Macaca fascicularis: one gene and its partners. The protein of the gene in region 1 purifies or fractionates together with the protein of each later gene. This does not show direct contact. Links are inferred from orthologs where the notes say so. Each region holds a gene or a part of one and is shown in the gene's direction. Other genes may lie near its edges. The genes, in order: ECSIT, PPP2R2D, TIMMDC1 and PPP2R1A.

What was found.
Region 2: the proteins of ECSIT (region 1) and PPP2R2D purify together in Homo sapiens (affinity purification with mass spectrometry; 3 studies listed by BioGRID and IntAct, counting the BioPlex papers as one, with this or other methods). This does not show direct contact. The link is inferred for Macaca fascicularis from reciprocal best matches to the Homo sapiens genes ECSIT and PPP2R2D.
Region 3: the proteins of ECSIT (region 1) and TIMMDC1 purify together in Homo sapiens (affinity purification with mass spectrometry; 3 studies listed by BioGRID and IntAct, counting the BioPlex papers as one, with this or other methods). This does not show direct contact. The link is inferred for Macaca fascicularis from reciprocal best matches to the Homo sapiens genes ECSIT and TIMMDC1.
Region 4: the proteins of ECSIT (region 1) and PPP2R1A purify together in Homo sapiens (affinity purification with mass spectrometry; 3 studies listed by BioGRID and IntAct, with this or other methods). This does not show direct contact. The link is inferred for Macaca fascicularis from reciprocal best matches to the Homo sapiens genes ECSIT and PPP2R1A.

The regions. Positions count from the first base shown.
Region 1 is NC_088393.1:12,099,393-12,105,987, reverse strand, and holds the start of ECSIT (evolutionarily conserved signaling intermediate in Toll pathway, mitochondrial), read left to right. Parts: upstream 1-2,383; 5' UTR 2,384-2,468; intron 2,469-2,555; exon of another isoform or gene 2,556-2,808; intron 2,809-6,595.
Region 2 is NC_088383.1:140,986,656-140,992,491, forward strand, and holds part of PPP2R2D (serine/threonine-protein phosphatase 2A 55 kDa regulatory subunit B delta isoform), read left to right. Parts: intron 1-1,005; coding exon 1,006-1,171; intron 1,172-1,549; coding exon 1,550-1,662; intron 1,663-1,911; exon of another isoform or gene 1,912-2,009; intron 2,010-5,003; coding exon 5,004-5,181; intron 5,182-5,836. UniProt on the Homo sapiens protein: Substrate-recognition subunit of protein phosphatase 2A (PP2A) that plays a key role in cell cycle by controlling mitosis entry and exit. Involved in chromosome clustering during late mitosis by mediating dephosphorylation of MKI67.
Region 3 is NC_088376.1:163,656,618-163,662,453, reverse strand, and holds part of TIMMDC1 (complex I assembly factor TIMMDC1, mitochondrial), read left to right. Parts: intron 1-2,218; coding exon 2,219-2,329; intron 2,330-5,836.
Region 4 is NC_088393.1:59,991,757-59,997,592, forward strand, and holds the end of PPP2R1A (serine/threonine-protein phosphatase 2A 65 kDa regulatory subunit A alpha isoform), read left to right. Parts: intron 1-3,431; coding exon 3,432-3,523; intron 3,524-3,691; coding exon 3,692-3,708; 3' UTR 3,709-4,146; downstream 4,147-5,836. UniProt on the Homo sapiens protein: The PR65 subunit of protein phosphatase 2A serves as a scaffolding molecule to coordinate the assembly of the catalytic subunit and a variable regulatory B subunit.

The DNA.
Region 1 (6,595 bases):
CTTGAGGCAGCCTAAGAGCAGGTTCTTGCATCCTAGTCCCCATGCCAGCTCACTGCACCACAGAAGCTGAGGGACTGCAGAAATGGGCTTATGAGGACAGATAGCCTTTCTTTCTGGGGGCCACTGCTATTGCCAATAGCCCATTTTATGTGCTTATCCACCTTAGTTACTAACAGCCTAAATCTGGTGCTTTCTGGGGGAGACCAGGAGCCCCCATTACTCAATCTCACCTCGTTTTATCACATTTCCTCCTAAGTTACTCCATTCCAACCACACAGAGTCTTTGCTGTTGTTCCCAGTGCCAAAAGCCTTCCCCAGATATCCAGAAGGCTCACTCACTTCCTCTGGCCTTTACTCAAAGGCCGCCTCATTGAGACCTTCCTATCTATCTATCTATCTATCTATCTATCTATCTATCTATCTATCTATCTATCTATTTATTGAGACAGAGTCTCACTCTGTCGCCCAGGCTGGAGTGCAGTGGCACAATCTTGGCTCACTGCAACCTCCACCTCTTGGATTCAAGCAATTCTCGTGCCCCAGCCTCCCAAGTAGCTGGGATCACAGGAGCTCACCACCACGACCTACTAATTTTTATTTTTATTTATTTATTTATTTTTTGAGACAGTCTCGCTCTGTCGCCCAGGCTGGAGTGCATTGGCGCGATCTCCGCTCACTGCAAGCTCCGCCACCTCCCGGGTTAATGCCATTCTCCTGCCTTAGCCTCCCTAGAAGCTGGGACTACAGGCGCGCGCCACCACGCCCGGCTAATTTTTTTGTATTTTCAGTAGAGACGGGGTTTCACCGTGTTCGCCAGAATGGTCTCGATCTCCTGACCTCATGATCCACCCGCTTCGGCCTCCCAAAGTGCTGGGATCACAGGCGTGAGCCACCGCGCCCGGCCTATTTATTTAATTTTTTTTTTTTTTTTGAGACGGAGTCTCGCTCTGTCCCCCAGGCTGGAGTGTAGTGGCCGGATCTCGGCTCACTGCAAGCTCCGCCTCCCGGGTTCACGCCATTCTCCTGCCTCAGCCTCCCGAGTAGCTGGGACTACAGGCGCCAGCCACCTCGCCCGGCTAGTTTTTTGTATTTTTTAGTAGAGACGGGGTTTCACCGTGTTAGCCAGGATGGTCTCGATCTCCTGATCTCGTGATCCACCCGTCTCGGCCTCCCAAAGTGCTGGGATTACAGGCTTGAGCCACCGCGCCCGGCCTTATTTAGTTTATTTTTTGGGACAGAGTCTCGCTCTGTTGCTGAAGCTGGAGTGCAGTGGAGTGATCCTGGCTCACTGCAACCTCCGTCTCCCGGGTTCAAGCGATTCTCCTGCCTCAGCCTCCTGAGTAGCTGGGATTACAGGAGCCCACCACCATGCCCTGCTACTTTTGTATTTTTAGTAGAGACGGGGTTTCATCATGTTGGCCAGGCTGGTCTCGAACTCCTGACCTCAGGTGATCCGCCCTCCTCGGCCTCCCAAAGTGCCTGGATTACAGGCGTGAGCCACCACGCCCGGCCCTGTTTGTTTATTATTACTAATTTTAGAAATAGGGTCTCGCCGGGCGCGGTGGCTCAAGCCTGTAATCCCAGGACTTTGGGAGGCCGAGACGGGCGGATCACGAGGTCAGGAGATCGAGACCATCCTGGCTAACACGGTGAAACCCCGTCTCTACTAAGAAATACAAAAAAAATAGCCGGGCGAGGTGGCAGCGCCTGTAGTCCCAGCTACTCGGGAGGCTGAGGCTGGAGAATGGCGTGAACCCGGGAAGCGGAGCTTGCAGTGAGCTGAGATCCGGCCACTGCACTCCAGCCTGGGCTACAGAGCGAGACTCCGTCTCAAAAAAAAAAAAAAGAAAAAAAAAAAAAAAAAGAAAAGAAATAGGGTCTCACTGTGTTGCCCAGGCTGGAGTGCAGGGGTGCAATCATGGCTCACTGTAGCCTCGACCTCCAGGGCTCAAGCGATCCTCCCGTTTCAGCCTCCCGAATACTGGGACTATGAGCACGCGCCATTGCGCCCAGTTAATTTTTAACTTTTTTGTAGAGAAGGGGGTCTCGCTATGTTGCCCAGGCTGGTCTCGAATTCCTGGCCTCCCAAAGGGCTGGGATTACTGGCATGAGCCACCGTGCCGGCCTCCTTTCACTTTTTTAAAATTCATTTTCTCATTTCAGCCCCTGGAGCCTGCGGCTGGATTCACAGACTCCCAAGTCCAGCCTCCCGGGCCATTTCAAGGTTCCCAGGCCTGGAGTGACACTTGACTCATTAGAAGCGGGGCCCAGCTCGTTATGAGGCGGGTCTAAGGCCCTTCCGCCTTCCCATTGGCGCACCTCGCTTTGTGGGCGGGACCTATTACACCAGCTTTCTTGATTAGCTGCCTCCCTGGCGCTCCCTGACCCGGACGCTCTCTGGGCCAATATGGCGGCGCCCAGCAAGAAGACAGAGCTGGCCTGGAGTCCGCGGCTGGCCGCGTGAGTAGGTAGGTCGCACGCGGGTAGGCGAGCGCGAACTGCTGGGCTCTAAGCGGACCCTTCAGGACCCGGCAGCGCGAGAGGGCGGCCCTGGAGGGACCCAGCTGCAGGGCCAGGGCGCCGTGACCTTTCGTAGTGGGGGCGGGGACGCGCTGGGAAAGGCCGCCCCTCTTGTGCCAGCCGCCTCACGCCCCCAGTCTCCGGTTTTGCAGATGAAAACAACTGACCCAGATTAAAGTCCTCGCCAGAGGTCACGCCGCAAGTCGGCAACCGGGCAGGAATTGGAATCTACGTCTGCCTGTTTCCCCCAAGAGACCCAGAATCCTGGCAGCCGGTTTCAGAGCTGCTGTACGTACACTGTACCTCGGGGTTCAGATTTATAGGTGTTTTGTTGAAATTGAGCTCTTGTTTCCGTTCCGTTGATACTTGTTAGGCATCTACTGTATACCAGGCACTGTCCTGGGCGCTGGAGACACAGCCATGAGGAAGATAGATAAAAATCCTTCATCTCCTGGGGGAACCAGACTTTTAACAAATCACAAATAAACGAAACAGGTGATTTCAGATACTGATAAGTTACTAAAAATGCGTTAATGGTGTCGGGAATTTCGCTTGAGCCCAGGAGTTCGAGACCAGCCTTGGCAACATAGCAGGGCCCTGTTCTCTACAAAAAATTATGCGGGCATTGTGGTGCACGCCTATAGTCCTAGCTACTCGGAAAGCTGAGGTGGGAGGATTGCTTGAGCCCAGGAGGTCAAGGCTGTAGTGAGCCGTGATTGTGCCACTGCACTCCAGCCTGGGGGACAGAGCAGGACCCTGTCTCAGAAACAAACAAACAAAAATTAATAGGTCGATGAGGGCTTTTAGAAAAATATGGGGAATGGGAGGTGGTCAAAGAAGACCTTTCATTGAAATGACCAGAGACAGCTGTGGGCAGATCTGGAGGAAGAAAGCTCTAGACAGAGAGAAAAGCGAGTACAAAGGTTCTGAGATGGGTTAAACTTAGTTTATTTCAGAAACAGTGTAGCTGAAGCTGCCAGTGGTAGGAGTTGAGAGAGAGGGGTAGACCCTGTCTGATTTTATTTATTTATTTTTATTTTTTAGAGACAGGATTTCCCTTGTTTGCCAAGCCTGGAGTGCAGTGGTGCAATCATAGCTCACTGCAGCCTCAAACTCCATGGCTCAAGTGATTCTCCTGCCTCAGCTTTCCCAGTAGCTGGGACTACAGGTGCACACCACCAGGTCCAGCTACTTTTTTAAAACAATTTTTGTAGAGATCGTGTCCTGCTATGTTGTCCGAGCTGGTCTTGAATTCCTGGGCTGCAGTGATCCTCCCCACTTGGCCTTCCAAAGCACTAGGATTATAGGCATGAGCCACTGCTCCCTGCCTATTTATTTTTAGAGACAGGATCTCAGTATGTTGCCCAGGCTAGAGTGCAGTTGCTATTCACAAGTGCAGTCATAGTTCACTGCAACCTCTAACTACTGACTTTAAAGGATCCTCCAGCCTCAGTCTCCTGAGTACCTGAGATGACAGGCATTCGCCACCGTGCCTGGATAATTTTTAATTTTTTTGTGGAGATAGGGTCTCACTATGTTGCCCAGGCTGGTCTTGAATTCCTGGGCTCAAGTGATCCTCTTACCTTGGTCTTCCAAAGTGTTGGGATTACAGGCATGAACCAGTGTGCCCAGTCCCTGATTTTAAGTGTGATGTGCCGTTAGCAATTTTAGGCAGAAATCACTAGTTTTAGTTAGTTTGTTTGTTTATTTATTTAGAGATGGAGTCTCACTCTGTCACCCAGGCTGGAGGGCAATGTCCGAAGCAACTGGGATTACAGGCGCCTACCACCACTCCTGGCTAATTTTTGTACTTTTAGTAGAGATGGGGTTTCACCATCTCAGCCAAGCTGGTCTTGAACTCCTGACCTCGTGATCCACCCGACTCAGCCTCCCAAAGTGCTGGGATTATAGGCGTGAGCCACCACGCCTGACCTAAGTTTAGTTTAAAAGCTCCCTCTGGCTGGGTACGATGGCTCATGCCTGTAATCCTAACACTTTGGGAGGCCAAGATGGGTGGATTGCTTGAGCTCAGGAGTTCAAGACCACCCTGGGCAACATGATGAAACATCATCTCTACTAAAATACAAAAAATTAGCTGGGTGTGGTGGTACACACCTGTAGTCTCAGCTACTCGAGAGGCCTAGGCATGAGAATCAACTTGAACTGGGGAGGCAGAGGTTGCACTGAGCTGAGATCGTGCCACTGCACTCCAGCCTGGGCAACAGAATGAGACTCTGTCTCCCCCGCAAAAAAAAAGCTCCCTCTGGCCATAGTGGGGAGAACTGACTGGAGGCGGGAAGGGCAGATGTGGGAGGCTCGATAGGTATCCAAGTCATAGATTGAGATGGTGGCTTCAGACAGAAAGAGGTGCATTTGGGATGGATTTGGAAATAGTCACCCAGACTAGTTTTTTTTTTGTTTTTTTTTTTTTTTTTTTGAGACAGAGTCTGGCTCTGTCGCCCAGGCTGGAGTGCAGTGGCGCGATCTTGGCTCACTGCAAGCTCCACCTCCCGGGTTCACGCCATTCTCCCACCTCAGCCTCCCGAGTAGCTGGGCCTACAGGCGCCTGCCACCACACCCGGCTAATTTTTGGTAGTTTTAGTAGAGACGAGGTTTCACCGTGTTAGCCAGGTGTTTGAGAGCGGTTGCTCTCAAAACCGTAATCCCAGCACTTTGGGAGGCCAAGGTGGGTGGATCATGAAGTAAAGAGTTCGAGACCAGCCTGGCCAACATGGTGAAATCCCATCTCTACTAAGAATACAAAAATTAGTCAGGTGTGGTGGTGCATGCCTGTAATCCCAGCTACTCCAGAAGTTGAGGCAGGAGAATTGCTTGAACCCAGGAGGCGGAGGTTGCAGTGAACCTAGATCACGCCACTGCACTCCAACCGGGGCGACAGAGCAAGACTCCATCTGGAAAAAAAAAAAAGCAGATTCCAATTCAATAGGTCTGGGATAGGGCCAATAATTTGTTTTTTTTTGTTTTGTTTTGTTTTTTAGCAGGTGAGTTGGTACACGTTCAGTGGATTCTGACTTTCATGGCTGCCATCCTGATAAATTTTGCTTTTTTTTTTTTTGAGACAGTTTCACTCTTGTTGCCCAGGCTAGAGTGCAATGGTGTCCTCTTGGCTCACCACAAGCACTGTCTCCTGGGTTCAAGCGATTCTCCTGCCTCAGCCTCCACGTAGTTGGAATTACTGGCATGCACCACCGCACCCAGCTAATTCTGTATTTTTTTTTTTTTAAGTAGAGACAGGGTCTCTCCATGTTGGAGCTGGTCTCGAACTCCTGACCTCAGGTGATTCATCTGCCTGGGCCTCCCAAAGTGCTGGGATTACAGGCGTGAGTCACCATGCCTGGCCAAATTTTGCTATTCTAATAAACTTCTAAATGTCACTGACGCTGCCAGTCCCTAGGACACACTTTAAGTAGCTGTGGGGTTTTTTTGTTTTTGTTTTTTTTTGTTTTGAGTCAGGGTCTTCTTCTGTTGCTCAGGCTGGAGTGTGTGGCGTGAACTTGGTTAACTGTAGACCTCCCAGGCTCATGTGATCCTCCCACCTCTGCCTCCTGAAGAACTGAGAACACAGGTGTATACTACCATGCCTGGTTAATTTTCTTTTTTTTTTTTTGAAACAGAGTCTTGCTCTGTTGCCCAGGCTGGAGTGCAGTGGTGTGATCTCGGCTCACTGTAAGCTCCGCCTCCTGGGTTCACGCCATTCTCCTGTCTCAACCTCCCAAGTAGCTGGGACTACAGGCGCCCGCCACCTCGCCCGGCTAATTTTTTGTATTTTTTAGTAGAGACGGGGTTTCACCGGGTTAGCCAGGATGGTCTCGATCTCCTGACCTCATGATCCGCCCGTCTCAGCCTCCCAAAGTGCTGGGATTAAGGCTTGAGCCACCGCGCCCGGCCTCTTTTTTGTATTTTAAGTAGAGACGGGGTTTCACCATGTTAGCCAGGATGGTCTTGATCTCCTGACCTTGTGATCCACCTGCCTCAGCCTCCCAAAGTGCTGGGATTACAGGCGTGAGCCACTGCACCCGGCTGGAGTGCTTTTTATTTTTTATTTTTGAGATAG
Region 2 (5,836 bases), on another chromosome or scaffold:
TAGATACTGGTTATAGAGCAAGAATGAAAATACTGGCGTCCTTGATTTTGAATTATGAAATATTTAATACTTAATAGAAAATTTCATTTAGGGCGTACAGAAGATTCAGAGGTTAATATAGATGTACCTGCAAACCCACTACCCGGAGATTATCCCTTCATCAAAGGAAAGAGAGTGCTTGGGATACCGATGACGCTCCTGTTGTCCCCTCCCCGTTTCATCCTGCTACTTTCCTCCCAGTCTTTTTCCTTCTCCCTCTCTCTACCTTCCCAGAGTTGCTCATGATTTCAAAGATGGTATATATCTTCCCAAGCATGTTTCTCTACTTCTGTAACAGAATCGTTCTGTGCATATGTAAGCAGCGCCTCACTCTGGGCGCCTGTGCGGCCTGCTTCACTTGGGCAGCACTGTGCCGTTGTCTGTGCTTGCTCATTTATCTCAGCCCGCACGGCTCTGTGGCTTACTGGTGCCCTTCTCCTCTGGTTGGCATGCGTGTGGCATCTGGTTCACTACCACCGTGTTGGAGCCGCCACATCGCTGTGCCGCGCTCCTCGGGCCCGTGCCGGCTCTCCTGTAGAGCAGACTCTGCAGACGCTTTCTCTCCAGGGCCAGATTGCAAACATTTTTGCCTCTGTAGCTCATGCGGCCTTTTCACAACCACTCACCTCTACCCAGATGGTACAGAAGCAGCCAGACACAGTATGTGCACACATGGGCCTGACTGTTCCACTAACACTTGCCTTAAATACAGCAGGCAGCATTTGGCAGACCCTGCTCCAGATGCATACCTAGAAGTGGAATAGAAGAGTTGGAAATCAGGTTCTTTCTTTTTTGTTTTTTTCCCCAAAACATTGATTCTGAGTTTCATCTGTTTGAGATTTTTTTGAGCCAGGATTTTTTAGCTTTAAAAAATACGTATGGTCATTTGATATTCAAATTTATAGTACAGAAATTTTCTCTGCACTGTGCTTTGTTCATTAAAACAGCTCTCATGTTTCTTTGCAGAACAAAAGCCGCCCTCATTCTAGGGGAGAATATAATGTTTACAGCACTTTTCAAAGTCATGAACCAGAGTTTGACTATTTGAAAAGTCTAGAAATTGAGGAAAAAATTAATAAAATTAGGTGGTTACCACAACAGAATGCTGCTCATTTTCTACTCTCTACAAATGGTAAGAATTGTTTTCTAAGTGGCTGATTTAGTGTTTTATTTTTAATTTTCTGTGTGTGTAGATTTCTTTTTATTTTAGAAGTTAATCCTGCTTTAAATTTTGTGGGGAGGGTAAGTTATCTAGGGTAGCAAGTGATAGGTTGAAAATTCAAAGTATGCAACAAAAACCACACGTGCAAGTTACTAGGATGTTACTCTGCACGTCTCCACATCTTTGTTTATTGTGCAAAACACCTCCAATTGGAAATATTCATGTTCAAAGACCCCATAGCTTATAAACCAACATAGGGCCACACCGCTTTCTAATATAATACTCAAACAGTAGTGATGCATGTTACAGTTTTTCTTTTCATATGGAGAATGAGGTTTTTATTTTCAGATAAAACTATAAAATTATGGAAAATAAGTGAACGGGATAAAAGAGCAGAAGGTTATAACCTGAAAGACGAAGATGGAAGACTTCGAGATCCGTTTAGAATCACAGCACTACGGGTATACGTTGCCTTTTCTTTATCCAATGCCGTTCAGAAGTTAAGAATAAACGTTTACGTCTGCTGTTTGGAGAGTCCTGCTGGGTGGAATACTGTGAGGTCCACCTCCTGAGTCATGAAAGGCATTTGCGCTCATGACACATGTGTTTAAAGCAAGGTCTTTCTCCTATTTTCACAAAGGCAAAAAGTCACATGTGGTCTTTAGACAATACTGCAATACTAAGGGGAAAACTCACATCTAATTCTACAGCAGAAATCTTGGTGGACGTACCGACCACCCTTCTCTCTGAAGGTTCGGAACAGCACCTGGCAAGTTGAAGTTCAGATGGAATTCCGAACACTTCGCAGGTGAAACAGCACAGGCTGCAGATCGAAAGATAGGCTGTGGGCCACCAAGATGCATTCAGAATGTTCTCATGGCATTTCTTTGGGGTTGACTTAGGCAGATGCTGACAGTTCAGAACTCTTCACCTGTCCGTCCATGAGCATCATTACTTTTTTAATTGTTAAGTTATTTGCTCCATTGTTGGCGCCCCCCTATCCCCACCCCCCCCCCCCCCCCGCATCATGCAGTATGAAATGACCATATTTCGTCAATTCCAGGGCCTAGATTTTTTCACATTTTAATATCTATGAAATCGGGTAAAACTTAAAACCTCAATGTCTTATAATTGGCCTGGTGCTACGTACGACTGATGTGTGTCTTAAATTAGATGGAACATGGTGAAGGGTGTCCAGCAAACTGGACTCCAGCCCGGGTGTGTCTTGGTGAGAAACCAGCACCTGTGCAGAGGTGTGTCCCCTGGAAGGAAACCCTGCCTGGTCCCAAGGGAGTGCCATTACTAGATCTGAAAACGGTTGGTGGGTGGGTGGGTGGGTTGGCTGGTTGGTTAATTGGTTGGGTGGTTTCGTTGCCGGGGGGGGTGGGTGTGGCTGGTTGAGTTGGTTGGGTTGGGTGACTGGTTTTTAATGAGATTTCAGCCCGTTACGCTATTGTTTATCAAGTGAAGCCGAGTGAGCGAGCCCATTCCACATTAGCCTTTGAAGTGCTACAGAGAAGGACGCTGAGCTGCAGAAGCCTTTCCCTAACACACGTGCCCCTGGGAGTGACGCTGGGTCTGTTCTGATGCCATTTCTCCAGCTTTGCCGTGCGGGGTGGGTGCACCTGGGGTCGTGCATTTCCCAATTTCCCAGGAGGAGTGTCCTCAGACTTCTCACATCGAGGTTATCACCCTGTTTCCTATGAGCTCATCAAAGTGAGAAAGGCTGTGGCATGTGCTGAAAATGTAGTTTATAATGTGAGCCAAGATGTTTCAATCCAAAATGGTGGTGGTGTCTGATACGCAGTGCCGCTGCCTTTGCATCCATGAATTAGTGTAAATCATTTTTAGTGACAGTAACACGAGTTGTGCAGTTCCTTTATCATGAAACTGCTGACCCTAAAGTAGAAGTGTGATGGGACCCCTGAGGGTGGGCACTTGACCCCCTCCAGTCTCGTCCATCTCTTCTACAGGCAACACCACCTCCCACCCAGGTACCTGTGCATACCCCACCCTCAGAAACCCCTGTTCCTCCCGATCAGACCCTGCCACAACCCATGAGTTCACATGCTCATTTTGGGAAAACAGTAGGCCTTTACTAGGCCCAGTCTTGGTTTTATTCAAGGCTGCTTTTGTAGGTTTAGCCTAAATAAAATGGGTATAATTGGTGGCCCTACTGAAGGCTTGTGAGAAGTATAGTTATTTCATTAGTCAGTGCATGGGGAAGAGACCACAGACAGGTAATTCTGTACAATGACTTAGGTCAGTATTTGAGATTGTACCTCTCTAACAGTTCAGAATGGGCTATTTATGTATCTGAGCCTAACTGGGTAAGAGTCAGAAATGTTGCTATTTTTAAATTTTTGCTCTTAAATTATTTTAGTGCCAGAAAAGGGATATAATTAAAAGAAGAAATCTTGGCCAGGCACGGTGGCTCATACCTATAATCCCAGCACTTTGGGAGACTGAGATGGGAGGATCACTTGAGCCCAGGAGTTCAAGACCAGCCTGGGCAACATAGCCAGACCCCATCTCTAAAAATGAAAACAAATTATTTTATATGTAAATTAAAATTTTTTAAAATAAAAGAAGGAATCTTTGTAAGTATTGCAGCCATCATGTGTTTTGATTAATGGGAGATTTGTTAGAGGATTGTGGCAGGTGTGTGTTTTTTAAGCCTGAACTTCATTGAACTGACTCTTCTTGATCTAAAGAATCCAAGGCTGTGGTCAGCACTAACTGGGTTAAAATGGGGGAAGTCTCACTACACACACTTCTCCACGTTCGTTTTTTACAGAATTTGGCCAGACAAGACTCAGTTGAGAGATTTTTTTTCCCTAAGCTTTCAAGGCTCTCCCTTTTGGTTTCTAATTACAAGAATAACAAAAAATACTCTCATTAATTTTTTGTTTTGATTTTAAAGCTTATGTTTTTCTTCCAGCTGGGTGTTAGGGAGATGCAGACCTTTGTCCTTTTTTCATGTGTGATGCTATTCCTCACACCTGAGCTCTCACCTCTGACCGCAGGCGGCCTCCAGCCAGCACCCTTCTCCTCTCTGTCCTTTCCATTTCAGTGTGAATTGGGCTTCCCTAGAAGCCTCCCTGACCGCCGCACTCGACACAGAGATGGGTGCGGGAGGTACCTTTTACTTTTTGTTTTAACCTCAGATGAAGTGTAATGAATAATACATACCTCCAAATAATATGTCTGCCCTATAAGTGACCAGCTCCATGAATGTTTGTAGACTGGACATGCCCATGTAGTCAGCCCCAGACCAATAAATGGAACATCCTCAGCTCCCCAGCACCCACCTGTGCACCCTGCCAGTCCCTGGAGCCGGTGGAGGCTTGTGGGGTTTGCACCAAGAAGCATAGTCCTGGTGCAGTGAGAGGAGTTTTGTGCATGTAGCTGCAAGGAGAGGACAAAGGGAGGGGCTCAGCTGAGCCACCCAGGAAGACTTTGCTGTCCAGCGTCTCAGTGTGGCCACCAGAGGACGCATAGGAGAGGGAGCCGCAGGCCTCGGTGCCTGGGCAGCTTGTACCGTGCCAGCTGATCTTCTTTTCTTCAGCAGGAAGAAAATGTCGACCTCGGTAATGGAAGCAAGGGGGAACACTTGGAATAGACAGTATTCAATTTTGTAGCGTATTTTCATAACTCTGCTAATTGGTTATTTGGGGGTATTGCCTGAACAGAATTATTAGCCGTGAATATAAACTTGTCCTCTTTCGTTATCTACTGTAAGTGTTCTAATTCCATGCTGCTGTGATCTTTGTTTTGAATTCCTATTTCCTTCCATTTTTAGGTCCCAATATTGAAGCCCATGGATCTTATGGTAGAAGCGAGTCCACGGCGAATTTTTGCAAATGCTCACACATATCATATAAATTCCATTTCAGTAAATAGTGATCATGAAACATATCTTTCTGCAGATGACCTGAGAATTAATTTGTGGCACTTAGAAATCACAGATAGAAGCTTTAGTATCCTTCCTCAGAGGGACACTGGCGTTTTCCTGAGGGTGCTCTTTAGATAGTGATTTCTCTTGTTCCTTTATACACCTGTATCTCAGAGTCTGGTCTTGTAAATACCGTCGCTGCACAGCAGCCTGTGATATAAGTTCTCTGTGATTTGAAATGTTTGTCCCTAAAGATACAAATTTCTTTCTACCTTTGGGAAAAAGTTATCTGTGTGATGGGAATTACCCGAAGTCCACTGCTTGCCTGCTTTAGTCAGAGACAATTTTAAATAGGCTGCATTTGAAAAACCAACTTTATGTGGTTTTTTTTCTAAATTTGCTGCATTTGAAAAACCAACTTTATGTGGTTTTTTTTCCTAAATTTGCTGCATTTGAAAAACCAACTTTATGTGGGTTTTTTTTTCTAAATTTGCTAACGGATGATAGAAAATACTGGCTTAGGTTAGAGCGGTGTTTAATCACCCATCTGAGCAGCAGCTTCCAGTTAGAACTTGCATTCTTCTGTGGCCGTGCACGGTCTGGGCGGCCCCAGCCCTCCTCATATGGGCCCCTTTCCAGCCAGCAGGCGGGAGCAGGGGGCTTGCTTCATCTGCAGCCTCTCCAGGGTCCCTGCCGTCCTCCCTCTGCTGTCCAGCGGCTTGAGCTGGGGTTCCATGTCG
Region 3 (5,836 bases), on another chromosome or scaffold:
GTTTGAGACCAGCCTGGCCAACAGGGTGAGACACTGTCCCTACTAAAAATAGAAAAATTAGCCAGGCACGGTGGCAGGTGCCTGTAATCCCAGATACTCAGGAGGCTGAGGCAGGAGAATTGCTTGAACCCCATATACCCTTCACCTAGGCAGAGGCAGAGGTTGCAGTGAGCCAGTATTGCACCATTGCACTCCAGCCTGGGCGACAGAGTAAGACTCAGTCTCAAAAAAAAAAAAAAAAAAAGAGAGAGGAAAAGCAAAAAAAGAATTTAGTTTCTTGTGCCTGGAGGAGGTCTGAGGTCCATGTTTCCTTGTTGGCTGTGAGCCAGACTATTCTCTGTTCCTGGAGGCCACCACCCACATATCTTCTCCCAGGGCCCCTTTGTGTTTAAACCAGCTATAGCACATTGACTCCTTCTCATACTTCGAATCTTCAACTTCTACTCTGCCACCAGCCAGGGAAAACTCTGCTTTTAAGTGTTCACTCAGATATCTATCTCCTTTTTCATTACCTCAGATTTAACTAATTAGTAACCTTAATTACATTTCTCACATAAATTTTGCCATGTATGATAATATAATCATGGGCATAATATATTCACAGTTGAGTGATTAGGCAGGATATTTGGGGGGACCACTTTAGAATTCTGCCTACCACATTTGGTTAAGGTGTTATCTGTTCAGTGCCTCCATTGCAAAGATATCTTTTTCCCAATGTGATTAATTAGTAATCTGGAGGGTGACACTGAATATCCTGCTCTCCAACTATCTTTTCATCATGTGTTTTTAATGATCCATTGACGACCCATGCTGTAATCGGTTTGTTACTAGAAAGGTGGTTGTAAATGTTGATAAGCTAATTCTGTCAGTTCTTCTGTTTTTATTAGTTGGTATTTGACTAGAAGAGTGCTACCTTCCTCCTGCACCTGTTCACCCCTTTTTCTGCCTCCTTTAAAGGAGAAGATAATGCTATAGATTTAATGATTTTTTAAAAATTTAAATTAAATAAAATCAGCATGTCATAATCTACTACTGCCATTATTTTTGTTGTAGTGTTAATATACCAGTTTGGTTTGAAGGGAAGACTTGTAGAAGTTAGCAACAAAAATATTTTATATTGTGGTAATAAACACATAGCATAACATTCACCATCTTAATCATACTTTAAGTGTATAGTTCAAAAATGCTAAGTATATTCACATTGTGTGTGAGATCTCTAGAACTTTTTTCTCTTGCGAAATGAAACTATATCCGTTAAAAACTAATTTTCCCTCCTCATACCCTCCAGCCCTCAGCAAACATATTTCTACTTTCTGTTTCTATGATTTTGACTACTTTATATACTTCATATGAGTAGAATCATACAGTATTTTCCTTTTGTGACTAGCTTATTTTACTTAGCATAATAATGTCCTTGAGGTTTATCTATGTTGTAGCCTGTGACGGATTGCCCTCTTTTTTAAGGCTGCATAATACTCCATTGTATGTGTATGTCACATTTTCTTTAGCCATCTGTCAGTGAACATTTATGTTGCCAAGTAAAAGTAGTTTTTAGTATGAGGTTACTTAAATTGTAGCTGGAGGAAATTTAAGGTATGTGAAGGTCAAATACTTCTAGTTTGAGAACACAAGAACCAAATTCTCTTCATCACTATAGCAATTATTATCTAAATCAGTTTCTCAGTGGGTTGCTTTTGGCATTGTTGGTGAGACAGTTATGCCAGACTCTTGAACTTTAGGATATTTTGGTGATCCCACCCTCAAAAGCCAGTAGCATCCCTTCCTCAACCAAAAATGCCTTCCACATTTCCTGTCTCCTAGAGGAGCTGGTGCCATTCTGAACTAGAAATTTCATTTCTGAGAATTCTTTGGTGTGGGACTACTTACTAGATCCTGTCATAATTATATACTTTTTTCTCTTCGTTTTGATTTATTTCTCATTCCTCATAAAAACAACCAGTTTCTAGATCTGTTGTTTTATTATATATCAGTTAACTTTAGGAGGTTGTAGTGATTGTTTTTCTCTGTTGTTCAGACCAGAGAAGAGATTACCTCAATGTTTTTCTTTATTTGACAAGGACACTTTAATTCTCAAATGTTCCTATACCTAATAGTGAACAAGTGGCTCTGGTGTTGCTCACACCTTAGCAGAGAATCTCACATGTTGCAAGGTCTAATGATTCTTTTTTCCTAAGCTTTCCCTCTCCTTTCTTCTCAGTACTCCTGTAGGAGGCCTGCTGATGGCATTTCAGAAGTACTCTGGTGAGACTATTCAGGAGAGAAAACAGAAGAATCGAAAGGCGCTCCATGAGCTAAAACTGGAAGAGTGGTAAGGAACATGTTAAGCCCAGGGAATCTTGGCTCTCTTGCCCCAGGCCTTATATAGTGGTGCTCTGTTAAACTTGTGTACTCTAAACTGCCACTCAGTTCAAAGAAGAGTTTATTTTTACTGAGTCCTTCAACTCATTCTGTACATTGTCTTTTAATCTATTTAAGGAGAATGGAAAAATGAAAGACATTAATTTTAGTTTTAATTTAACAAAGGTCTTTCTTTGCATTTTTTTTTTAAGTTAAAATGTTGTAAATCTTACTTGCTTGCATATTTTTTATTTTCCTATGTTCTTGACTGCATAGGAAATTACCTAAAGGGAATATTCACCAAGGAGTGAGCTTTACCTGGCTTACTTAAAAAGTGACATCCTTAGCCAGGCAGGGTGGCTCATGCCTGTAATCCCAGCACTTTGGGAGGCCAAGACAGTTGGATCACCTGAGGTCAGGAGTTCGAGACCAGCCTGGCTAACATGGCGAAACACCATCTCTACTAAAAATACAAAAATTAGCTGAGCATGGTGGCACGTGCCTGTAGTCCCGGCTCCTCAAGGAGGCTGAGGCAGGAGAATCACTTGAACCCAGGAGGTGGAGGTTTCAGTGACCCATGATTATGCTCCAGCCTGGGCCACAGATCAAGACTCCATCTCAAAACAGGAGAAGAAGTGACATCTTTTTTTTTTGCACAAATATGTATGTAAGACACAGCATGTTAAGTCTCCACAAAGATTCTGTTTCTTGCTGTAGACACAGAGGAATTAGGTGGACAGTGGTGGTTCATGCACTGAATGCCACTGAGGAGCATGAAAACTTTTACCTATTGCATGTAATCATTTCCTGGGATGCAATTTGTGGGGTAGGGCAATCAGACTGATAGCTGACTTTGCACAGATTCAATATGTAAGATGAATATAACAGGCTGCTATCTAGTGCTCCTGAGTACAAATGATTCTCACTAGTTCAGCTTCCTGGGTACCTAAGATAGCATTGGCTGCTGCTGCTGTTGCTGTTTTGGTATTATAATTGGATAGATAAGAAATCATTTTTTTCCAATGTTTTCATTTGAAACCTCCATTTCTGCTAACCACACACACATACATGGAAATTCTTAAGAGCTGTAGTCCATTATCCAAAGACTTATGTGCTATATGAGAAAAAAAGCATTGAGGTTGCAGTGAGCCGAGATCACACCACTGCACTCCAGTCTGGGCCACAGAGCAAGACTTCATCTCAAAAAAAATAAATAAATAAAAATTTTAAAAATAAATGAAAAATTAAAAACTACAGAAGTTTGTCAGTGATTTAGGGGTCAGTGATTTTGAGATAGAAAAGCTTAAGAATGGCTGGCTAAGGCCATTCTAAGATCATTCACCTGGAGTCTTCCACCACTGGCAACACTGCCAATTCTAGTGGTTGAGCTGTCATGTGCACTGCCTGAAGACTGGCCCATCCAGGGCCTGCTGCCACCATTTACCTCCCCCCATCCGGTTAACAGCAGATTTGCCAGCAGAAAACTTACAGCTCAGGAGAGAATGGGATGACACATTCAGAATGCTGAAAGGAAAAAACAAACAAAAAAACCCAAAAAAACTCCTGCAAAGAGTATTATACCTAGCAAAGCTGTTCTTCCAAAATGAAGGAGAAATAGTCTTCCCAAGACAGGCAAACACTGAGGGAATTCATCACTACTGGACTGCCTTATAAGAAATGCTTAAAGAACTCCTGCATGTGAATGCAAAAGTATGGTAACTGCCATTATGGAAACACATGAAAGAATAAAACTCACTAGTAGAGCAGATAGATACACAAATAAGAACGAGAAAGGAATCAAACCTTATAATTACAAAAATCCACCAACTATGGAAGTAAATAAGAGGGGAAGAAAGGAACAAAGATTATACAGAACAACCAGGAAACAATTAACAAAATGACAGGAGTAAATCCATACCCACAATAACAACGTGGAATATAAACACTTTAAATTCCCCAATTAAAGATTTAGACTGGCTGAATGAATAAAAAAGAATTTAAAGACTCAACTATATATACTGACTACAAGAAACTTCACCTGTAAAGGTACAGATAGGCTGAAAGTAAAGGGATAGAAAAAGATGTTCATGCAAATGGAAACCATAAATGAGCAGGAATAGCTATACTTAGGCCAGATAAAATAGGCTTTAAATAAAAAACTACAAAAAGAGACAAGGTCATTATATAATGATAAAGAGATTAATTCAGCAAGAGGAAATAACTGTAAATATATATACATCCAACACGAGAGCATCCATTTATATATAAACAAATAATAATAGAGCTAAAGGGAGAGATAAACCCTAATGTAATAGCTGGGGACTTCAACACGGCACTCCCAGCACTGGACAGATCATGTAGACAGAAAATCAACAAAGAAACATCAGACTTAAACTGTACTATAGATCAAATGGATCTAGCAGACATTTACAGAACATCACATCCAAGAGCTGCAAAATACACCTTTTTCTTATCTTGGAATGTTCTTCAGGATAAACCATATGTTAACCTACAAAACAAGTCTCAACAATTTTTTAAAGCTCAAAATAACATCAAGTATTTTTTCAGACCATAGCAGGATAAAACTAGAAATCAGTAACAGGAAGGACTTTGGAAACAGTGCAGATACACAGAAATTAAATAATATGCTCCAGAACAATGAATAGGTCAGTGAAAAAAGAAGGAAATTTAAAAATTTCTTGAAACAAATGAAGGTAGAAACACATCATACCAAAACCTATGGGATACAACAAAAGTATCACAGGTACGTTTACAGCAATAAATGCCTCCATCAAAAAGTAGAAATGTTTCAGATAAACAACCTAACACTGCACCTGAGGGAACTCGAAAAGCAAGAACAAACCAAACCCAAAATCAGTAGACGAAAATAAATAAAAATATCAGAGCAGAGCTGAGTGAAATAGAGACTTAAAACACACACACACACACAAAAGAACTAAATGAAAAGTTCGTTTCTTGAAAACAAACAAAATCAAGAAACTACTAGGTAGACTAAGAAAAAAGACCCAATTAAGTTAAAAAACAAAAAAGGAGACATTACAACTGATACCACAGACATACTCGTATCATTAGAGATTATTATGAAACAACTATATGGCAAGATATTGGAAAAGCTACATGAAATGGATATGTTCCTGAAACCCTATAATCTATTGAGATTGAGCCAAAAAGTAATAGAAAACCTGAACAGACCAATAACAAGTAACAAGATTGAACTGGTAATAAAAAGTCTCCCAACAAAGAAAAGTCCAGGACCACATGGCTTCGTTGCTAAATTCTGCCAAACAGTTAAAGAAGAATTAAGACCAATTCTCAAACTATTCCAAAATATTGAAGGTGAGAGAATTCTTCCAAACTCAGTCTACAAGGCCAGCATTACCCTTATACAACAAAAACCAGACAAGGGCACGTTAAAAAACAACACCACCACCACCACCACCTACAGGCCAATGTATTC
Region 4 (5,836 bases), about 48 Mb from region 1:
GATGGGATGGCAGTCTTACATACTAGCAACAAGTCATTAGAAAATGAAATCACCTAATGTTTTATATGTAAGTATTTGTATAATTTATAATTGCACCAAAAATATTAAATAGCCAGGAAAAAATTCAGTGAAAGATGTGTAACACCTCTAGTGTAAACTGTAAAACACTACTGTGAGAAATTAAAGCAGACCTGACCAAGGTGGGCAGATCATTTGTGGTCAGGAGTTCACGACCAGCCTGGTCAACATTGCGAAACCCTGTCTTTACTAAAAATACAAAAAATTAGCCGGTGTGGTAGCACACACCTGTAATCCTAGCTGTTTGGGAGCCTGAAGGCAAGAGAACCACTTGAATCCAGGAGGCGGAGGTTGCAGTGAACTGAGATCACGCCACTGCACTCCAGCCTGGGCGATAGAGCGAGACTCTGTCTCAAAAAAAATTAAAACAGACCTACATAATATTCGTGTGTGGGACAGTTCCCTGAACTCATCTTTAGATTCAGTATAAGCCCATTAAATCTCAACAGGTTCTTTAGTGGAAAATTGACACTTCTAATGAACAAAGTTGGATGATTTATACTACCAGAGACGACACCACAGTAATTAAAATAGATGTGAATACAAGAATATTTAAATCGCCCAATAGGATGGAATCAAGGGCACGGAAACAGTCCCACGTGTGTTTAACAGCAGGCACCTCTGTAGTTCAGTGGAGAAATATATATTTTTTAAAAAACATAGCTGGGTCAATTTGATATCCATGTAGGAATAAAAGAAGCCTCGCCTCTGGCGGGCGCCTGTAGTCCCAGCTACTCGGGAGGCTGAAGCAGGAGAATGGCGTAAACCCGAGAGGCGGAGCTTGCAGTGAGCCGAGATCCGGCCACTGCACTCCAGCTTGGGTGACAGAGCCAGACTCTGTCTCAAAAAAAAAAAAAAAAAAAAAAAAAAAAAAAAAAAAGAAGCCTCGCCTCAATGCATAAACAAATTAATTTGAGATGACAGACCAGAACCAGAAAGATTTAAAAAATAAAACATCTAGAAGAAAATGTAGGAAAATATCTTCATGAGTTAGCGTAGGCACAGCAAACCAGAGGAATTGATGGGTAAGTTGACCTTCTGTAAAATGTAGCACTATTTCTCAAAAGACAGCATTTTGAGAGTAAAATGCAAGCCCTTGACTGGAGGAAGATGTCTGCAATGTATGTTTCTGAGAAAGGACTCATCCACAATACCTGTCTACAAACCAGGCAGGGCAAGAAAGAGATGGGAAAAAAGACTTGAATCGGCACTTGAAAAAGGATCTCCACATAGCTTGTAAGCATATGACAAGGTGTTCAGCATCATCAGCCTTCAGGAAAGTGCAAATTAAAGCTCAGTGACATATCACTACACACCTCCCAGAACAGCCAATATTAAAAAAGACTCAATGGTGCAAATGTTGAAGACATAGAGCTGGAACTCTCATCCGTTGCACGTGAGGCTGTGTATTTAGGGTTTGATCACTCTGAAAACGGGAGTGGAACTGGAGTGGAATTTGGTGAAGCTTGTTATACAAACACCCTGTGAAACAGCCCTTCCACTCCTGGGTCTCTATCCAGGAGAAATGAGTGCTGTTTCTGTCCGAAGAATGTTCATGGTAGCTTTATTCATAGTAGCCATAAAAACAGAAAAAACCTCCATGTCTGCCCACAGTAGAGCAGATAAATTTTAGTTCATTCATACAGTGGAAAACTATTCAGCAGTGAAAAATCAAATGCCTGCTGTAGGCGGCAACACAGGTGGCTCTCACAGATACCATGTTGAGTGAGGAGCCAAACCCAAGAAAACACACCATTTATGTCAAGTTCAGAAACAGGCAGAATGAAAGAATCGAGATGATGGAAGTAAGAATAGTGGTTATTTGGGGAGAACAGGGAGCTGTCAAGTGAAAGTGGGGGACCCACAAAGCCTGCACTTTTGATTTCTGTCTGAATCTGTTCCAGGACACAACCTCAGCTTTAGTTTCTCTCCGAAGTCCTCCTCCATTTCCCAAAACAATTGACTCGGTGCAGGCGGAGTTCCCTGGGCCCCATAGATGAGAGTGGTTGCCTCCTCTGGGCTCCTGGAGGACCAGAAACTTTCCCTTGGGACCACTTACCACTCCCTTCTTACGTAGCAGTTTGGTCTCTGTCTTGCTCCTGGCCCGGATGCCTCATGGCAAGAAAAAGTGATTTAGCTCCGTATTCATTCCATATACATTGTAGGCCTCAGTGAATATGTGTGAAATCAATGAAAGATACCCATTTGTTGGGCCTCAGAGACTTGGGAGTTCTGTGATTCTGTTCTACTTTCCCAGCCTGCTCTGATCTCCCTGTTTGGGGCCCCAGAGAAGTCTGTTGTTGTTTGTCATACTTCTGACTTTTAAAGTAATTGGTTGGTTGGTTGGTTGGTTTTTTTGCAGTTTGTTTGGTTTTCCTTTGAGACAGAATCTCACTCTGTCGCCCAGGCTGGAGTGCAGTGGTGCAATCTCGGCTCACTGCAACGTCTGCCTCCTGGGTTCAGGCAGTTTTTGTGTCTCAGCCTCTTAAGTTGCTGGGATTACAGGTGTGCACCACCATGCTTGGCTAATTTTTGTACTTTCAGTAGAGACGGGGGTTTTGCCATGTTGTCTAGGCTGGTCTTGAACTCCTGGCCTCAAGTGGTCTGCCCACCTTGGCCTCCCAAAGTGCTAGGATTGCAGGCATGAGCCACCGCACCTGGCCTTGATTTTACTTTTTTTTTTTTTTGAGACGGAGTTTCACTCTTGTTGCCCAGGTTGGAATGCAATGACGCAATCTTGGCTCACCACAACCTCCACCTCCCAGGTTCCAGCGATTCTCCTGCCTCAGTCTCCCAAGTAGCTAGGATCACAGGCGTGCACCACCACACCCTACTAATTTTGTATTTTTAGTAGAGACAGGGTTTTTCCATGTTGGCCAGGCTGGTCTCAAACTCCCGACCTCAGATGATCCACCCACCTTGGGCTCCCAAAGTGCTGGGATTACAGATGTGAGCCACCATGCCAGGCCTGATTTTACTTTTAATATACACATAATTATACATATTTATGGGGGTATAGTAGTGTTTTGATAATGTGTGCAAATGTGTAATGATCAAATTAGGATGATTAGCATATCTATCACCTTAAATGTTTACCGTTTCTTTGTAATGAGAACATTCAAAATCTTCTCTTATAGCTGTTTTGAAATATGCAAAATATTATTGTTAACTATGGTCACCTTCCTGTGCATTGAGCGGAGATTTCTCATTCCTGTGTATGTCCTGGATTCTTGAGACTCCTCTCACCTTGGGTTTGGTGTATCCATGTCTGTGTATACCCTCTTGCTCAAGAGCCCTGTGCCCACCTGTTGCCCCAGTACGCTCCCTTTCTCTGTCTCCTTTTCGCTTTCCAGCACCCTGCAGAGTGAAGTCAAGCCCATCCTAGAGAAGCTGACCCAGGACCAGGATGTGGACGTCAAATACTTTGCCCAGGAGGCTCTGACTGGTAAGACCTAGAAAGCAGGGAGCCCTAGCAGGAGGGTGGACTTTTGAGGACAGGTGCTAGGCTGTCCTTTGAGAACAAGGTCGCAGCTTCTGGGAGGGGGAGGTACCATGGCATTGTGGGCAGAGAGAGGGCTGTGGTTCTGATTCTTGCCTGTTCCTGTTTTCCTAGTTCTGTCTCTCGCCTGATGCTGGAAGAGGAGCAAACACTGGCCTCTAGTGTCCACCTCCAACCCCCACAAGTCCCTCTTTGGAGAGACACTGGGGGGCCTTTGGCTGTCACTCCCTGTGCATGGTCTGACCCCAGGCCCCTTCCCCCAGCACGGTTCCTCCTCTCCCCAGCCTGGGAAGATGTCTCACTGTCCACTTCCCAGTGGGCTGGGGGAGCACGGGGTTGGACAGGACAGCGACCCTGGGAGGAAGGGGCTACTCCGCCCACGTCGGGGAGAGATGTGAGCATCCCGGGTCACTGGATCCTGCTGCTGTAATGGGAACCCCTCCCCCATTTACTTCACCTCCCATCCTTCCCCTCATTGGTTTTTTTTTTGTGTGTCAACTGTGCCATTTTTATTTTATTCCTTTTATTTTCCCCCTTTTCACAGAGAAATAAAGGTCTAGAAGTAGTCAGTCCTCTGGCCTTAGTCATCAGCATGGAGGAGGGGACACCACCCCAGAGTCATAACATCTGCCCTTTTCTCTGGAGAAGATCTTGTTACAGGACCCATTATACCCCTATGTCCCGAGAGAATTCTCTGGGGATCCCCCGAGGAGTGCTGCTGGCCTGTGGAGCAGAGGGTCCACGAGGTGCTCTGGCTGCTGTCCTGTAGTGCAGTTCAGTTTCATAGATGTTGGCCGAGTATTTTGGGGGTTAAGAGCAGGTGCCTTGGAACCAGACTACCTGGGTCCAAATTTTGGCTCCTTCAGTTAATAGACGTGTGACTAGGAGTAGCTTGTTAAGTCTTTATGAGCTCAGTTTTGTATTGTGTAAAATGAGAGTGACATTAGTACCTAGATTGCAGGGTGGGTGGCGAGGACCAAGTGAATTAGTACCTGGTAAGTGTGTAACAGTTTCAACATGAGAAGTACACAACATGGGAAGCAGAGTTAGCTGTACATTGCCAGAGAACCCCCTGTGGGCCATTTCCTGTGTTCTTGAAGAAGACTTGGGCTCTGACCCTGTCCCCAGGAGGTCTATCAGGATTGTACTAGAGAGAGAACTATGGCAAGATAGACCAGTTGTCTCTCAGTATCTATTCTCCCCTTCCTAATATAGAAGCTCTGATTTTTAGCTGGGCACATGACTATATGCATTCCAGGTATTTTCCTAGTGTCTCTTGAGATTAGGTGTGGTACTGTGACCAAATTCTAGTCAAAAAGATGTTGAACAAAAGTGGTATGTGCAGCTTCTATGAAGTGTTCTTAAGGGTGAAGGCATGATCCCCCACCTTTCCTCCTTCCTGCACTCCTGCACTCTGGAATGTGGACCAGATGGCTAGAGTAGAAGCTGCCACCTTGGGCCAGAAAATGATCTTAGGAGTGAAGGTCAAGGAAGACAGGACAAGATGGAAGGAGCCTGGCTCCCTGAGGCTGTGAAGAGCCACGCCAGTATTGTCACCTGGGAGAATTCAACTGGTTAAGTGCCTGTTCATTTGGGGTTTCATCACTTGAAGGTGACCCGAATTCTAACTGATGCAGGGAGGGGCCTGGAGCACCCTGGAGAAAGGAGCAAGGGACGTAAGGCTGGTGATGTCTGCATGGAAGGGTTTCGCAGAGGACGTGGTGCTTGAGCACATTTTGGCACAGGTGGTGGAAGGGAAATGTGGCTTTGAGTGACAAGGTGATTTCACCAGCTTAGCCCTCATATTACCACATCCCTACTCTGTTAGACTTTTTTTTTTTTTTTTTTTTTTTTTTTTTTTTTTTTGAGACGGAGTCTCGCTCTGTCGCCCGGGCTGGAGTGCAGTGGCCGGATCTCAGCTCACTGCAAGCTCCGCCTCCCGGGTTTACGCCATTCTCCTGCCTCAGCCTCCCGAATAGCTGGGACTACAGGCGCCCGCCACCTCGCCCGGCTAGTTTTTTGTATTTTTTTTTAGTAGAGACGGGGTTTCACCGTGTTAGCCAGGATGGTCTCGATCTCCTGACCTCGTGATCCGCCCGCCTCGGCCTCCCAGAGTGCTGGGATTACAGGCTTGAGCCACCGCGCCCGGCCTCTGTTAGACTTTATTGTGCCCTAGGAGATGAGGCTGAAGGAGACCAAAAAGCATCTTTAGGAATTACCATTTTTGCCCTGGGCAATAAACTCTTTCCTAGTTGAGAA